3 linked regions of the Coturnix japonica genome follow. The protein of the gene in region 2 binds, or shares a complex with, the protein of the main gene of each other region. Links are inferred from orthologs where the notes say so. Each region holds a gene or a part of one and is shown on either strand. Other genes may lie near its edges. The genes, in order: CRCP, POLR3E and POLR3F.

Region 1 (6,001 bases), on a different chromosome or scaffold from region 2:
AATTTCTCTGTGTGTGAAAGGAGAGAAAGACAGCTGTCAGTATAGAGAGCAGAGGCAGGTACACTCTCAGGTTTTCTGCAAGGTCATGAGGAGAATATCTTGTTGTGCGGCACTTCATCTTTGCCTTCCTCTCGCTGTATCCCCAGGATACAATGAGGAAGGAGGAATGTCTCTCTGATGTGGGCTGTGAGGAAAGAGAGGCTATTCCCTGTGCTATCACACAGTGCCTGACTGTAACTTCTGCAGCAGAAGATGTTGTTGTTGCTGTGATTGTTGTCAGCTAAAGAGCAAGTCTAGAAGTCTCCTGTCCCAAGAAGGCTGTGACTATGGACGTGTTAAAGGACTCACATGGCAGCGCGCTCCACCAGGGTCTTGATGAGCTGCAGCAGGTGAGTGGAGATGACAGAGATGGAACTCTTCAGGAGCAGCTTCAGGTCAGTCACAACCTGGACAAGATTGGCCACAGTGAGATAAAGGAGAATGTGTCATAGATGGTAGCCTGACACTGTCATTGTAAAATAGCCTTGTTCTATATGTTGGGAAGATGAATCTTCCATTTATCAGAGGCAGCTCAGTTCAGAGATTTCCTGAAATGAGGAGGGGAGGATCACAATGGAAAAAAACAAATAGTTCCATATATACCTGTTCATTCCTGCTTCTTCCAGTCTGCAGCTTTCCAGCTATATCCCCAATCAGCTCCTGAGGACAAGAGAATAACGTCTGTCAGTGCCTCTATTCTGAGCAAGAGATTAATGCAAGAGCAGATATCCTGCCACTCAAGCAAGGGGTTCAGGTTTAGGGTTCTCTTCTGGGGAAGGGGAAGTTTGGGTTCTAGACTTTTACAGCCTCTCTTCCACACAAAAGAGGTCCTGGATACTGTTGGCTGTAAACCTAGTATGTCAGTATAGCAAGATGTTGAGGAATTTCACCATGCTGGGGACAGAGGCATATGTGCTCAATGTCAGGCAGCACTAACTAGAGAGGGAGAGAAATAAGAGGTTAAAGAACCCAAACCTTCAGTCTGCGTTCAATGGCAGTCTGGATATCCTCATCACTTTGGGTCATTACAAGGACTCCCTTAGATGATTCCTCAGAGATCTATAAATATCAACAGAAACACAAGTCAGCTCATACTGATTCCCTGAGTGAGGGGCTGTAAGTTATCCCCAGGAAATACCAAGTTCTGCCATCCAAATGGAAATGAAAGCATTCTCACAGGTGCTCCTGCATTCCTGTTCTTTCAGGCCAAGGCTGGCTGCTTGCTCTATCCCTATATTGTGTATTGCACTTGGTGGAGATTCATCTTTTGATCCTTGCTGATCCTGCACTCCTGGCTATGGCAGGACTTAAGCATCACAGTGAGAAAGTGAGCTGAAGTGGCAGTCATTGCTTTAGTATTGTCCGTAAAGATTTTCCTATACAAACATTGTATAGGCTGCCCATTATCCATGGTAGGTGAGCAACAACAATGAATATTTCAGAAAAAGTGCTTAGTGGCTGGCTCTTCTTCACCCCTATACAATACCGTGCATTGCCTTCTACTAAGTCAGGCAGATGGACACAAAGGGATCCCAAGTGCCATTGGAAAAATAATAGTTCTAATTCATACTGAAACAATTCCTCAGGTACGTTCAGTCTGAAGAGGATGGGCAGGCAGGTTGTGCTGAGCACACCTCACTGAGGCACCAGGTTTCCATAAGCAGCATTCTTGCTGTGCTCAGTAGGGATTTTTGCTGCAGCTAGATGGATTCTAAGCATTTATCTCCTGTCCAGAACATCTGCTAGAGTATCAAATGCAATACACACAGGCTTCTGCAATTCTTCCTGGTTTCAGACAGCATTCCCTTACAGGAATGCACTTTTCCACATGCCTAGTACTAAGAAATAGGATGTGGGGATACAGAAAGATTGTCTTTAGAGCATGGACCCAGGGAGGTGACAACAGATGCTATCGGATAAGCTATTCATCAAAGTACTCTTGTGGGAATTGTTCTGAGCATGCAGGGCAGTTTATGAAAGAAATAAATACCTTTTCCAGGCCACTCAGGATCTTCTCCAGCTCGGTTTTAGTTAGGATGCTAGCCTTCTCCAAGGCTTTGGCATAAGCCATGCTTGCCTGGATATCAACTTCAGTCAGTCTCTGCTCAGTGGATATAGAAGAGCTGAGAATCTCCAGGATGGGATCTGTACTTCCAACAAATCTTCCTCCCAATAGTTTATCCCCCTGAGAGTAATGAAGTTAAAGGACATTCAAATGCATTATTGATATATTCTCCTAAAAATCTCTCAATGCCACGTTCAAGTAAAACTGTGGGAATGTTTTATATATCCCTTATTTATATGTTTTATATACCCTTTTTCTAATATATATATATTTCTATCCCAAATCCTCAAACACTTAGAAATTATAGCAGCGCTGAGCTGCGGGGTTGCTGGTACCATGGACAGCGGGCGGCTCCGATGGCCCTTTCCAGGCAGACGATGGAGAGGAGGAAACCTGTAGGTACGAAGTGCTCAAGTCTCTTTATCTTTTCTCTTTAAAGCAGTTTGTCAGCAGGAGTTGCAAGGGAGGAATCGAGTTGTGAAAGCAAGGTTTTGCAGCCTCGCTGGGAGCACAGCCCTCTGCAGTGAATGGATGGGGTGCTGAAGGCCAGTGCTGGGAGGTAAGTGCTTGGATGGAGAAGAGGTATTGGAATATATCTTAGTATATGGCAGTATATAAGTAGTAGAGAAGCAATTATCGCAGTATATAATTATATAAATAAATTTGCTGTTCACTTTCCATTTAAAATTTCAGGAAAAGAAATTTTCCTAAAATTCAGAAAAAGGCAGAGAGAATCACCCTGAAGCTCCCTATCAAATGCATCTGGATGCTCCGTGGAGCTATCAGTCATCTATCAGAGCACCCCAAGAGCACCCCATAGGAAAAGCAAAGTTTGGCCTCACCTCGGTTGCCATTTCGGACGACGTTTTGCTCGTGTTTGCAGCAATCCTGGCGCCTGGTGCAACCTGTGGAACAGCGAGGTGAGGCTCAGTTCAGCTCTGTTTGGCTCAGCTCAGCTCTGCCCCAGCCCCACAGCAGCACAGAGCCTCCCCAGCTGCCCGCACAGCCCTGCTCACCGTGTCCACAGCTCAGCCCTGGCTGGTCGCTCTGTGCTCTCCGGTCTCACTGCCCGGCTTTTACGTGCCTCGGAGCCTGGGCTGGAAGCTCGTCACGCCCCATTGGGGCGGGGTGTCCCCTAATCCAGCCCAGCTCTTCCCCTCCCTGGCCCCCCTCATGCTGCCCACCCCTTGTCCTGTGTTTGGCCACTGCTCAATCAGGAAAAGGTCAGGGAGAGGTTTCCCAGTGGGTAGGGTAGCTGTGAAGAAGAGAGCTGGTAAAGATGCCCTCATGTTGCTTGTTTGTAAAGTTATTGGTGTAAGAGCACCTGTAATGGGAGATTGTCTGCTGTGTGGTTTCAATGGCAGGTCATCTCCTTGTCAGGGAGTATCGTTGTGCTGAAGGAGTCTTTTTACTCTGGCATCCCCCTCTATATTGGTATGAATGTACTTGGGATGTTGGGTGGATCAACAACACTCCATCTACACTGCCACCAACACATGAGAATTAAACATCTGGGAGCTAATTTGTCTCCAGTTCCTGTGCAGATGAGCCTTTTCACCCCACCCCACTTCAGCTTTCAGGGTTTCTGCTGTCACCAATTGCATTGGGTCAATCTTGAGAAGTTCCTGTAAGCATGAGACTGAGGCTGTGGGATGTGAGTTTAGTGCAGTGCCACAGCGGTCACTAGGTCTGCGGCCCTGGCAAATAGCCCACGTCTTAACTCCCATCAGACTCTGAATATTATGGTTTTAAAGAATTGGTTAAAAAATGGGAGCGTTGGGAACATCTGTTCACAAAGCTGCTCCCCAGCTCCAGTTTCTCTTTAGACGCAATGCATTTCTGCTCTGAAAAAGCACTTGCTGGTTTCCCTTACTGTGTGTTGCTACAGTGTAGTATGCTTCCATCTGCATGGCACAGACCTTTGGCAAAGCTCAGGAAACATATTCTCATTTCCTTGTCCCCATTTCTTCCTTCCCTTTAGCTGACTGTCTGGTCTTTTTTCTTCTGTTCCCTCAGTTCTTCAACTTGTCTCCTTTTTCCATTTATTCCAGGGCATCTACACTTGGAAACTGCTGAATTGCTTTGTGATCACATCCTTCTTGCTTTGAAATCCATCATTTTTTACTACTTTTCTTGTCTCTTTCACCCTTTACGAGTGTCCTTGTCCTTACTCCTGGCTTTGATAGGAAATTGTTGTTGTTTTGGGAGAATCGTGAGCATTCAGTTTACAACCCAAGTGTACCCAGTACAGAGAGAATCTCTATCTCATGTTTGTTATATCACTGTAGGTTAACACACAGCCTGAGTGAGGATTACATGTCTTTCTGCCTGAGGATATCCAGCAGGATGTGCCCAGAAGGAAAAAGGGGAAAAGTAGAGATCCCAGGTGCCCAAGTGAGATGAGAGATCAGTAACACATTGTCTTCATGTCAAATATTTGTGGTGATGTATTGCAGGTTTTGGCCTTGAAATAAGTTGTTCTAATGGATGTTGTGGAACTAAAATCTGCAATCCACATGCAGCCGGGTATTAATCAACAGGAACGACTTAGCTGAATTTCTGGTGCTTTCACAATCTGTGCCTTGACCACAAATCTAGTTTTGTGATCAAGAAGCCTTCTGTATTTGCTATCAGGTGATCCCACTTTTATTAATCTATGCCTGGAATTATACATGGCAAGGACATGTATAATTCCGCATGGGATCCGTCAGTGTTATCACTGTGCACTAAGCAACTTCACAGAGATTAGTTTGTGTACAGAACGCTGCCTCAGTTTGTATTTAGGAGGTTATTAATTCTCTCTTTTCCTGTTTTTAGATGAAACACTTCATACCGATCTCTTCTGTACAGCGGGCAACATAGAATACAGTTGTAGTAGGAATGGAAGTGAAGCTGTAAAGCCAATCAGAAATCCTTAATGTGATTGAACAAACAGATGACTTAACGATGCTTGGGGCTGGGGAGGTTGTTTTTGAGGGAAAAATAGTGAAATAGCATTGCAGAATAGGTCTCTTCTAACAAACACTGGAATGTATCCTCATCATTATTATCTTCCCAGCTGACATACAATGAAGTAGTAAGAGTGAATCTCCATTTTGCGGCATGGAGAGGATGAATTGAATATATTTTAATGTCCTCTAAGATTTGGATTTTATTTGTACTTGCTTTTGCAGTCACATTCACATCCTTCCTATTTACACTGTTTATTTTGCTTTTGCTGGAAGAGCGCAATACTTGCGGAGTGCAGCTCTGAAAGCGCTTTAGTGGTGTAAAGAAATCCTCTATTCATAGTTTTCATAACTGAGGCTGGGGCAACAAACAGCTACAATATATATTCTTTAAAAACATTCTTTTTTAGTGTCATTTTGGTTTAGAAAAAGGGGGAAAAAAAGCGCTGTGGGCTGAACATGCTGGTTAAACGCACCGTCAGCTAGACTGGTGTGAAGCAGTGCTGACATTTTTTTGTTAAAAAACAAAACAAAACACAACCACCTTGTTTAATGAATTTTGAATGTAAAAGAAAAAAAAAGACACTATAGGGTGATCAGCGAAATGCTGAATACAGTAAACATCTTTCATGACAAAGAATACAAATACCCCGCAGATCTGCTTTCAATAGCAATTGCTAGGCCCCCTGCTTTCAATAGTTAATACCGAGGCCCCTCTCTACCAAGCCTTAGTGGTAACAATCACAAGCCAATGCTTAAAATGTTGACATGCTAAGCACATTTAGAAAAACCTATGTCTGCATTCCCTATGGATGGTGTAGCATAACTGTCTAACATCTAATGTGCAGCAATTAAAAACAGAGTTCAGTGAGCTAATCATTCCATCTCTCCTGCAAAGTTGTGTGTAATGGTTATTCCTCTCTCTTAGAGGTTCCCCTCACATGATGTC
Region 2 (5,380 bases):
ATGGTGACACAGGCTTACTGTAGCTGAGCATGGGAGGACTCCTTGGCACTGGGGACTCTATTTGATAGTGTAAAATGAGCTGGGTATATTAACCACTTCCTCATTTAAGACAGCTTCTGTGGCATAGTGGTGTAAGCAGCTCCTGCCTTGAGTACATGGCCAGAGCATGAGTGATTCTTACCTTTTGGTTCTCGGGCTGACATGCATGAGGTTGAGTCATTCCATTTTCAGTTCCAAATAAAACAGGATGGGATTTTTTTATTTCCCCTGATTTGCTGTGGGATCTGTGATGTGGTTGAGGGCTAAACAGTTAATGAGGAATGTATTTGCCAGGGTCTGCAAGGGGGTGTAAAGTTGTCTCTTTGCCATCCCTCTCCACCACGGATGTCAGGGAGAATATTAAGTAGCTGTTCTATAATCCTAAAAGGTTGTGAAAACCTGAGATTCCAGAGAGTTTTAACTGGGCATTTGGCTCACTGCCAGACACTGGAGCCAGTGAGCAGTATAAGCAGAACTGACAAATGCATATAAATCCACTTCAATACCTTGTGTTTGATCTGCTTGGAAGGATTAGGTGTTGGGTTATTCAGAGAGAGCTGGTGTGCCTAATAGTAGAGGAGGTATCTGCATCAGTGTTATCAACGTGCTTATCTTTTTTTTTTTTTTTTCTTTCCTTTTTTTTTTTTCTTTTTCTTTTTTAATTTTAAGTTATAGTAGTGGGGAGGGAAGTAAAATCTGATCAGTAAACCAGGCTTATGCCTTAGGTTCCACAAGAAATGTTGTTTCCTGGCTTTATTTCAGTGAGTCATTCAAGCAGCACTCTGCAAAACTGGAGTCTTGTTTATGGTGGGATTTTATGCTACATTTCATTTGTTATCAGGCAATCCATTGCTGGTTTCCGGGGAGCAAAGAGTCAACATGGCAAAAGCAAAAGTCAAGCAGAACTATGGGCAGCTGGACAAGGAGTTCCAGAAGCAAAAGGCAGAACTGAAATCAAATGATGCTTCATCTAAGATAGATGTTTCCAATATCCGCATTAAAGAGGAGCCTGTGAGTGACGAGGAGCCCATGGACACCTCTGTGTATGAGGGCCTGAACAACGGAATCATCAATGGCCTCCACACGGAGGAAGACTCCACGGACACCTTAAATGGCCACTTGCCTGGAGGCTGCAGCGATCGGGTAGCCCAAGAACTGAAGGAATTTGTGTCCTCAACGTTTAAGAAACAATTTGTGCTCACCTTGAGTGAGCTTAAACGGTTGTTTAACCTTCATTTAGCCAGTCTGCCTCCAGGACATATATTGTTCAGTGGCATTTCAGACAAAATGTTACAGGACATGGTGTTGGACGTTGGCTGCAAACAGATTTTGGTGCCTGTAAGTATTTTTTTTTTCTTTTTGGCACTCTGGGGAGGAGGTGGAGGGACACAGCTCCTTACAGGAATGCTGCTGGGATAAAACACACCCAGCAGAGCTCTCTGGGAAGCAGCAAACTATATCTGCAGAGTTCTGTTTGTCGCTCCTTTTCCTCCTGGGCTGTTCAGAGGAGCTTTTGTTTGTCTTCATGGAAATTACGTGTGTGACTGCGTGAGTCGGAGCCAGCAGGTTGCTGAGGAAAGAAAAGGGAATTTGGCATCATGGAAAATAGCCCAAAAGGAAAATAATTTCACAAGACATCTGGTAGTGCTGATTGGTTTCCAGCAGGAACCTGGGAGTCAGGTGCTGTTAGTGAGAGAGACAAGGAGACGTGTGAGCTGCTTGGGAGAGCAGAGAGCAGGCAGGGTGGGTAGAGCCTGGAGCACAGGAGGTGAAGTGACCCTCACACCTTGTTTGGGCTTCAAGGAAGCAGAAGGAACACATTCAGTGGTGTGCAGAGCATGTCCTGTGGCACCTGGAACCAAGTGACAGATGTGAGGTGCCACACAGGAGGCCACTGCTTTTGGTGCTTTCTGCTTTCTCCCCTGACAGATTCCAGGTCCCTGGGCAATGCTTGCCTGCAGCTGCTGATTAGTGCTGGAGAGACTCTCGTTGTACATGGTATAGGAAATGCACTTGTCGTGCTGGTGGTAAACAGCTTAAGTCATCGCTGCTGTAGTGAGTCTGGGATTTGTTTGCTGGAGACTGCTGTACATTTGAGTTCTGCTGGTCTAGAACTTAATGCATAATTTGACATCTGCAGCAGCCTGCATAAGCCTGTACTGCTGTCAGAAAAGTAAGTCAGCCCCCAGGCCTCTGCCTCGTGCTGTGGGCTGGCTGTGCCTTTTGCACGAGTTTATACACTTTGCTCTCTCTGCTTGTTTCTCCTGGACAATTTTGTTTGAACCTGGTGGGGCTGCCTGAGCTCCTTGGGAGTCCAGGGGATGTTTTGCCTGAGATTTTGTGGTTACTCATTAGTTTTCTGTAATTGAAACTGCTTTGGTGGTAAAAATCAATGATCTGAGGTAACTGAAGTGATGTTCTGTGGTGGGTGAAGACACTTTTGGCTTTCACGTTGCCCTGTTACAGAAAATGTGTTGCTGAAAACAACAGTGGAAACCTTACTGGTGGGGTGTAGGATTTATTTATAAAGCTGAACAGCTGCATCTGAGGTACCAGATAAATGGTGCTTGTGGGGCCTCAGAAGGCACTCCAGCTGCAAACAGGGGCTGCCTGCACGGTGCTGTGCTTTGCTTGTGCTTTGGAGCAGTGGCAGCAGTGAGAGGGTGCCTTGCAGTTTGCAGAGTGAAGTGAACTCAGGGAGGCTCTGTGTGCTCTCCCAAATAACACCATGTCAGTTCAGAAGCAGTTCCCTTTCAGAGCCAGCAGTGCAACTTCAAGCTGTGCTCAGCATCTGACTGAGGCAGCAGGTAGTGCTCAGGTCTGCCCCAAGCAGGTCTGCTCCTGCAGCCCTGCATTGCCTGTACTGCAGCTTGTCAGGAGGGAGGCTGATGCCAAGGTGTTATCTGTGCTGAATGAAAGCACAGGAGAGTGTTCCTCTGTGTGCACCGTGTCCTTATGAGAAGAGGAGCATGTTGGGTGTCGCCAGCCCAGCAAACCTGAATCCTGGCTCTAAAGCAGATGCACAGCCCTGCTATTTACCAGCTGTTTGCACTAAGGTGGAGGCAGAGCTGCTGACCCCAGCAGGCAACTCCTGCTGGACACAGCGTTTCCCTTTGCCAGGAGATCAGAGGCAGCCCCTGAAAGGAAGGGCTGAGCTCTCCCTTTGCACTGCAGTCCTTCAGTGTGTGTGGAAAGCTGGGAAGAAAGGTGGGGAGTGTACTGCAGAGAGGAGCTGCAGCAGTCAGACAGGCCTGTTGGCTTTGTGTGGAGGACTGATTGAGGTTGGCAGGGCGGTGGTTAGCGTGGAATGAATGGTCGGTGACAGACAGGAAAGCACACATCAGGGGGGGGAAGTATCCAGCATTACTTGTTAGTCATTGCTCCAGGGGAAATCATTAAGGCAAATGGACATGATTGTATTTTTGTAGGAATTCGGAAGAGTTATATCCCTTCCTGCATGCAGAAACACAAGGCCTCTGTCTCAGAAAATACAAGTGGTGTTCCTCTAGCATGGATCCTGGTAGGGACAAAAACCACTTCAGTTTGGGAGCCTGAAATGCACTGATGTGTGGTTCGCTCTCCGTCAGCGTTCAGTCTCCAGGGGTCCCGTGGGCTGCCCCAGAGATCTCACACACAGCAGAAGCACAGTGCTGGTTGGCTGTGCTGCCTTGGGTTTAGTGGAGCAAATTCCAAATATCTAAAACTTGCCACTGGAGACTTCAGAACCTCCAGAAAACCCTGCAGTGCACTTCGTGCTTAATTGAATTCTGCTTAGGGAAGTCTGGAGACACAAGATGCTGGCAGGAACAATTCCTACGTCGTGCCATGAGATACTGTCTCAAGTCCACACCCTGAGATTATCACGGCGCTTGGTGGTTGTCCTCCCTTCCTCCAAGTTCCCATACAATGTCACAGGATCCCCTCATACAGCTCTGACGTGACCATCACTCCAGTGTGACCAGAAGCATTGCTGAAATGCTGTTGGGAATGCCATGTGTACATCAGGCTGCCGGAGCACTGGCCACATTCCCCAGGCAATATTTACCCCTCACCTGGGGTCTGGCTGCTTCAGCATCACCCAGAGGAACAGGTTGGGTGGGCTTTGTTCTTCTATTGCAGGCACAGGCGCTGCCACAGCACAGTCACCTCCCTGAGCCTGGGGTGGGAGAGAAGCACTTCTCATTAAATGGCCACAACATTTTGATTCAGTAATAGGTGTCAGGGGATACTGTATGATAGAATCATTAAGTAGAACTCATTAAATAGATAGTTATTTTTAACAGCCTCTTGTTCTCAGTTTCCTCCACAGACTGCTGCTTCACCAGATGAGCTAAAGGTTTATGCACTTTGGGAAGCCGGTGACATTTATGATCAGGTAAAGACAGAAATAAGTGATGGTCCCAAACACATTGTTACTGAGGGTTTGGCATTGCTTCACTTTGCATTTCTGGAAGCAGTACAGCAGTTTTTTCACCGTTCCCTAAGGAAGACTCAGAGGTTTCAGTGCCAGCCAGCTTCAGGCTGAGAGAAAGCTCGGGGTGGTTGTCACCATATCAGGAACAAGTTGTTGGGAACAGAAACTGAGACACTGGTAACTAAGTGGCATGTAGATACTATTAATTGTATGAAGAGAGAGGTTCCGTGATGCAGGTCTTAGGCTGGGATCCAGTCAAATTATTTTTCTTTTTTTACTAATGGTAATGCAGTGGTAATGCAGCAGTAGTGCAGTGTTAACCAGTGGTTATATGATGATGATGGAACATGGTGTATCTGTTTATATTTAGAAAAGGAAATGATTACAGCATATGCAAACATCTCCTGAGTTTTATTTCTATCACAGTAAGTGAAGTGGATGGAAAGGCATCTTAACAGAATGTGGACGGGCAATGTAACTGCTGTGCCTGTGACCTAAATAATTGTTTATAGGAAAGTCTCAAGCATTGTTCTAGAGAATAAGCAGCATCCGACCTCCTGGCTGGAGCAGACCACGTGAGCTGCCTGGGAAGCGCGTGAGAGGAAAATGTCATAGTCCCTTCTTTAGTATAGGTTTGTACCCATGGGGGCACCTGGGGTCACAGGATGGGGCAGATCTGCTCATGAGACATGGAGGGATCCCTGCAGAGCTGCAAAGTAACGGGAGGACACCTAATGAGAGCAGGCTGAAATGGGACAGTTTCAGGGTTACAAAGCAAGAATACTCTATTGAAGCTCAGTGAATGTTATGTACGGATTAATGCACAGATGGTTTGTTTTATAGAAAGTTAAAAGTAATTGTGTGTTAATGATTCTTTGTCTAAAGCATCGCCAAGTTTTGCTTGAAATTTTTTCGAAAAATTATCGA
Region 3 (6,027 bases), on a different chromosome or scaffold from region 2:
AATAAGCCCTACTCTCGCATGTGGACTATTTGTACGTAAGATATAACAGCAGTATGAATGGTAATAGAACAGTATATTAATGGCGGTGTATTTATTACTTATATTATTAATTTGTTTGCTATAGTATGTTTATTACTTATCAAACATGACAGCCTCTTGGATCTGGTACAGCTCAAACATACATTGTAAATGTTAAGAGTAAAATGTTGGTCCACATGCAGTGACAAAGCTGGAGGCAGAACAAGGTTTCTCTGCTCCCTGTTCCACGTTCAAACATGTACAGCATGTAGCAAACATTTGGAAATGTTAAAAAGCAACAAGTCAAAAATTACTCACTGCCACAGATTTCACTGCTTTAATTAGTTTCTTGCTTTCCAAGTTTTTCAATATCTTGTTGATCTCCGTTAAAGGCAAATTACTTTTGTATCTGATGTCCCTGCTCCAAATACCTGTTAAAGAAGCACAGAAATGAACAGAATTAATTAGGAGAACCAGGTATTTGTTTCTGTAAGGATTAACAAGCCAAAAGTCATAATGTTGCCTGCCAGCCAAAGGCTGCATCTCCAATCCTACCACCCTCAGCAAAAGGGAGGGAATGGGAAAAAGAGGATGAAATAAAAATCAACTGACAAAGCAGAAGAAAAACCTCACAGCACAGTCACCATCTGTATCTCTGGGAGCTCTTACATGTACACAACATTTGGCCTCACAGGAGATCCAGGAGACACAGAATTTTGTTTTTAAAGTGATGAGTATTTTGTATAGATTCCCCAGTTTCACAGTCCCATCAATAAGCCATAATTCATATTCTGAAACTTCATATTTTGAAAGAGGTCCCAAAAGGTCAGACCAGATAATTTGTTATTTTAATAGAGAAATATGTCTTCCTCTGTTTTTAATAAGTGGCACGTGGAACATTAGCTACAGACTTAGGCGTGCTCTATATCTGATATCTGCATTGCCTGGACAAGAATTTAAACGTTTGGACAGGAAAAGTTCCACAAACAAAGCTATTACCATTCCCCATTATAATTTATTTAAACTACCTTTGTTGCCTGCATCTTCTATGATTTGGTAAACCAGCTTCTCTTGATTGTCAGAGCCTTTCATTTTACTGTGGAGTAGAAGAGACAACGGGATTTTTTGGGGTAAGTTTGAAGTTTGAAAGAGGGTGGATTTATTTTAAACCAAAAACAAATACTATGAACAGAAACCACAACACACAAAGGGAAAAAGAAGCCCCACACAATAAACCAGCCAGTGGCAAATAAAATACATGACACCAAACCTCTGTGGATCATTCTGCGATTGCCAGTGAAAAGCCACAGTAAAGAGAAAACAGCACAGTTGAAAAAAAAAATAATATTAGTCATTAAAAATGAGGGTAAGCAGGAAACACTCAACTTCTCTTAACAAAGAGAAGTTTGGAGTCACATATTAACACAACTGCATAAGGTCAAACACTCAGCACATAATTCAGGACCAACTGTCGCAACAAGGGGACAGCAGAGGCTCTACAACGTGCCTTCTCACTGGTCTCAGAAAGCCTCAGCTTAGAAGGTTTTTTTCTAATGCAGTGGAAAGAGAAGTTGAGATGCCTGCATGGAAGATAATTTTGAAGGACGTTTCTTTCTAGAAGTAAATCCAGGCATCTCCTACTCAGCTCCACACAGACATCGCAAAACACGACTTTATTGAAGGCATGTTTTAATAAATCAAATAAAAGAGCACAAACAACATATCAAGCGGCCTTCTGGAACTGCTGTAAGTGCTGGAAAAGACCACAGAACGATACTTATAGATGGTGTGGTCAAGCTTCAGCTGGCTTTCATCTGAGCATTCGCATCTGCTCATAGAGATCACTTTGCCAGATGAAGAATTCCACTAGTAAGCTACAGCTGGAGCCCCATGGGAGAGTCTGTGCAGCAGGAATCATACAACAGTTGACAGAATTGGCTCAGGGGGGTTAAGCGTATCAAGCAAGTAAATTCTGTAATATCTTTGTTACAGAGCCCATGTTAAATTCCTTGCTGTGTTCTCAGCAACGCCGCACATCAGCTGCAGAACCGCATTCAGATATTGATTGCGTAAGCACAAGGCTCACCTTGCATTTTGAGACTCTTTGATTCTATACAGGAGACCTGTGCTGCTCCTGAGAAGGTCCAGTTGCCCCTGTGGGAAACAGGCACAGCACATTAACTTCCCTTCTAACAGCTTCTTTTCAGAACACGGCAAGAAAATCTCCTTAACTTGTAAAGAAAATAAATGTACTTTGTATCAGCTGAATACAGAAAAGGGAAAAACAACATTTCTAACTGCTAGACACAACAATAACCCTGAGGATATTATTCTTCCCCTCTGACCATGCATTTATCATTAGCTGTCAGAAATAACAAACACAGCTCCAGCCTCTCCCCACAACACTGGTGCACTTCCCGTTGTTTCTCCTAACGTTCACCTTGGGACATGGAGCTCTTGTATACTTCCCACCAAAGTGCTCATTCATATGAGCATCCAGATATCAAGTGAGAGCTCTGCTGGACAGGAACACTGAACAATTCCACAAGTGGAAGAGATGAGGGCTCTTATTTTGTTGGTTATGTTCTCAGTTCTGTAGATAACTGGAAAAGTGTCAGCCAAGTTTGAGGATGCCTCATGGAGGCTGCTCACTCACACAACAGGTGTTAACTTTATCTTACAGAATGGAAACTACATTTTGAGGTATGTTTTAATAGATGATGGTGACCGTTATAAGTGGTTGTGGTGGTCACAAGTGAGAACCACAATTAAGCTGCAAAAACTGCCAGTTCTGGCAAATGACACTAAATCCAAGATGAACTTCCCAGCCCTGCCCAGCTGGGTGCCACCACGCAGCCATTGACAACAGCCCATTGACATCAAGAGCCTCAGGATGAAGCAGCTCGAAGGGGTGTGGAACGTCGTACCATGGAGAGCAGCCTGTTGATGGCCATGGCTCGCTGCTGGGCCTCCATGTGCGGCATGTCATTCTGGATCACCTGGTCTGTGATGCCGTGAGGGAACTGCTGGCACAGCTCAATGATCCTGGGGGAGGAATGAGGCGGTTTATGAACCAAAGGCCGTTGTGCACAAAACCAGCCACCTGAAAGGCCATCAGAGCAGGGACGGAAAGGAAAGAGCAGCTCAGGAAGAACCACTTCTCAGCTCTTTCTGACAGCGCTGCTGCTCCACTTCACTTTTGGGCTGCTCTCAACATCAACGCACCAGGACCCACCAGGACCCACCGCTCCCCGCCTCCCCAGCACCACGAAGCCTCTCCCGATGATTTCGGGCCAGGGCCCGTCCCAACGCACCTGCTCTCTATGTCCACGGGGTCGGGCACCTCCGGCTTCACCTTCACCTCCGCCATGGCGGCGGGCCGGGCTGCGCGGGGAGATGCCGTCACCAGGAGCGGAGGGGATCGGTTACTGAGCGGCACGTTGAGATGACGTTATTTGTACGCGCCGGTGCCGGTTGCCGAGTAACGGGACGCGTGGGCTTTGTCGACACCGCCTGCTTTGTGGTGGTTGTGGTTGTTGTTGTGGTTGCTGTTGTTGTTGTGTTTCAGGGATCGCAGAGCAGGATGGCGGCGGGCTCCGTGTCTGTGCCGCAGCTCATTCCGCTCCGGGTCCCTGTTCCAGGGCAGGCCAAGCACCGCATCGACAGCGGCACCCGGGTGGAAATCAAGTCAGGTACGGGCTGCGGCTTTGCCTCTGTCAAACCTCCTCTCAAAGCGTTTGAGCCTTCCAGCCTCCGTGTTGGCTGCAGGTAACTGGCCTCAGGAACTCCACCTGCCATCAGAGGAGATGGTTTATCTGTTGGTAGAACAGTGTTTTCCTGCAAAACCACCGTGCGGTGACTTTATGAAGAGAAATATTGCTAATCGTGACATCGCAGCCATTCAGTGTCAGTTCTTCATGGGAGAAACGGTTTTGGTTCTGAACTTTTATGCAATTGCTTCATTGTGCTTATGTGAGAAAGTCAAGTACTCACACAGTGCTGAGTATCTGCAGGGTTGTACAGATATTTGTGTTTTTTTCCAGCTCCTGCACAGTTTGGCTAATTACTTTCTCTGTGTTGTTCAGATACACCTGAGGTCTCTATTTATTACACTTTAGATGGAAGTAAACCAGAACTTTTTAGGAAGCCTGGCTATGGAGAGCGTAACACTTTTAAGTATAAGAGTCCTATCACGTTACCAGTCGGGAAAATAACAGTCAAGGCTCTTGCAGTTACCAAGTAAGTATCCTGCTTTAACTTAGTTCTGTTTTAGAATGGACATCTTAACTTCATGGTTAGAAGAACACACAAGGAATCCCCAGTCCAGCTGGGAATCTGTTCCCCACTATTAGCACCTGCATGTAGCCTTTGCTTGTATCTGCATTGGAATATGACAACATTATATTCCCTGTGCAGGACATGCAAACCCTAGGTCTGAAGGTATTTTCATATATCACTATCTGAATTAACAGTTCTTTCCAGTGTTTTATTAAGACATTTCCAGGTGCACCAAATTGATGCTCTGGAATGAAAGCAAATTCTTAATTAATAGCTTGTACATTTGTGGCATTTTAATGTTACTGCTGTAATTTAGCAAGTGAGAAGGTAGAGAAGGTAGATAAGAGAAGGACAGTTGATATATCAAATTGACAGTGTGCTGTCTGCTGCTTGACTGCCCTTTGTTGCCTGCAATGCTGGCAAACTAATTACTCCAGAAAGCAGACACAGCAGCATCAGGAGTTAGTTTCACAGGTAAAAGATGTTGAAGAATTAAAGTATCCATCCGTATGTTTTACTGTTAACTTCTTAGTGTGCACACTAACTTAAACATAATAACAAAACAAAGCAGAGGTTTTTGAGAGTATTTCCCAGGACTGTGCTTACTCACTGAAGTAATGACTTGCAAACTTGGAAGAGATGTTCCAGACGATCAACCGTGTTCCCCCGTGGTTTCCTTTTCATTGCATGTGGTTTTATGGCATGTTCAGAACTTTGTGATCATTGACTTCCAGGGACTGCAGGGAGAGTGCTGTTGTGACAAAGGTGTTTCTAGTAGAGTACAAGCAACCAAACGGCCTCTTCTCTATGGAAGATGATGACAAGAAGTTCCTAAAAGATGTCACAACACAGGCAAGTTGTAGCAGTTGCAATCTCTTGTCTGAATACAGAAGGTTGTGTGTATGATAGTGCTTAGAGATTAAACCTTGACTGCCTGCATTTTTTATGTATTTTATTTTCCCTGTTGCTCATCTTTGCAGCCTTGGCCCTTTTTATAAAGTGAAATTTTAAGGGAACACGTCTTCTTTCTTTACTCACTGCTCTGTCATGATCAATTCAGGTCAAATATATTTAAAATACATTTATCCTCCAAGCTTTTCAAATGCTTACAATGAAAAGAAATACCTCAATGATATGCCTTTAAAATCGTAACAAATAACTATAGCTTCCTATAACTATAGGAAGGATTAGAGCAAAAACAAGCAATCCTAAGTAATCCAAATGAAATCACTTCTTAGGAGAAGGAAGATGGAACATTTACTACAAAACCAAGGCAAAATGGAATGGGTGTGGAAATCAAGCCTGCCTGGACTGAAACACCCCGGGATGTTCAAGGTATGGTATTACTGCAGGAAGTCAGAACAGACTTTGGGTTTTTTTGTTAGCTGAGAATACAGTGCAAAGTTTTCATCTTATGTCATCATTAAAATACAGGGGAATCTAAAAAACATCTCAGAAGTCAAAACATCTTCTGAGGAGTCCAATTTCCATTTCTCAGCACTGCAAGCAGGGAACAAAAATTGCCTTCTATACTTACCAGCCTGCTTATTAAGAACAACAACAACAAAATAATTCATTTCTAAGCAACATAACAAGGCCCAGTCTGCATCTGCATTTGTGCTAGAAAATGACATTAAACTGATGGGACTGCAAATTCATTAGAATATAGAGAATAACACATTTTTGGTTTTAGAAACAGAAAGAAAGACTGATCACAAGTCCCTGCAAGGA

Evidence for each region.
Region 1: POLR3E (region 2) and CRCP share a complex: the UniProt entries of both Homo sapiens proteins name them as parts of the RNA polymerase III complex. The link is inferred for Coturnix japonica from reciprocal best matches to the Homo sapiens genes POLR3E and CRCP.
Region 3: POLR3E (region 2) and POLR3F share a complex: the UniProt entries of both Homo sapiens proteins name them as parts of the RNA polymerase III complex. The link is inferred for Coturnix japonica from reciprocal best matches to the Homo sapiens genes POLR3E and POLR3F.

Annotation. Positions count from the first base shown.
Region 1 is NC_029534.1:3,785,430-3,791,430, forward strand, and holds the start of CRCP (DNA-directed RNA polymerase III subunit RPC9), read left to right. Parts: upstream 1-2,543; 5' UTR 2,544-2,663; intron 2,664-2,797; 5' UTR 2,798-2,860; coding exon 2,861-3,024; intron 3,025-3,120; exon of another isoform or gene 3,121-3,187; intron 3,188-6,001. Other genes in the region: delta-1 crystallin, read right to left, coding at 1-7, 349-446, 643-699, 1,015-1,098, 2,030-2,224, 2,947-2,958. UniProt on the Homo sapiens protein: DNA-dependent RNA polymerase catalyzes the transcription of DNA into RNA using the four ribonucleoside triphosphates as substrates.
Region 2 is NC_029529.1:8,344,364-8,349,743, forward strand, and holds part of POLR3E (DNA-directed RNA polymerase III subunit RPC5), read left to right. Parts: intron 1-880; coding exon 881-1,377; intron 1,378-4,322; exon of another isoform or gene 4,323-4,336; coding exon 4,337-4,414; intron 4,415-5,338; coding exon 5,339-5,380. UniProt on the Homo sapiens protein: DNA-dependent RNA polymerase catalyzes the transcription of DNA into RNA using the four ribonucleoside triphosphates as substrates.
Region 3 is NC_029518.1:13,402,198-13,408,224, forward strand, and holds the start of POLR3F (DNA-directed RNA polymerase III subunit RPC6), read right to left. Parts: upstream 3,486-6,027; 5' UTR 3,389-3,485; coding exon 3,333-3,388; intron 3,064-3,332; coding exon 2,946-3,063; intron 2,173-2,945; coding exon 2,105-2,172; intron 1,115-2,104; coding exon 1,047-1,114; intron 450-1,046; coding exon 337-449; intron 1-336. UniProt on the Homo sapiens protein: DNA-dependent RNA polymerase catalyzes the transcription of DNA into RNA using the four ribonucleoside triphosphates as substrates.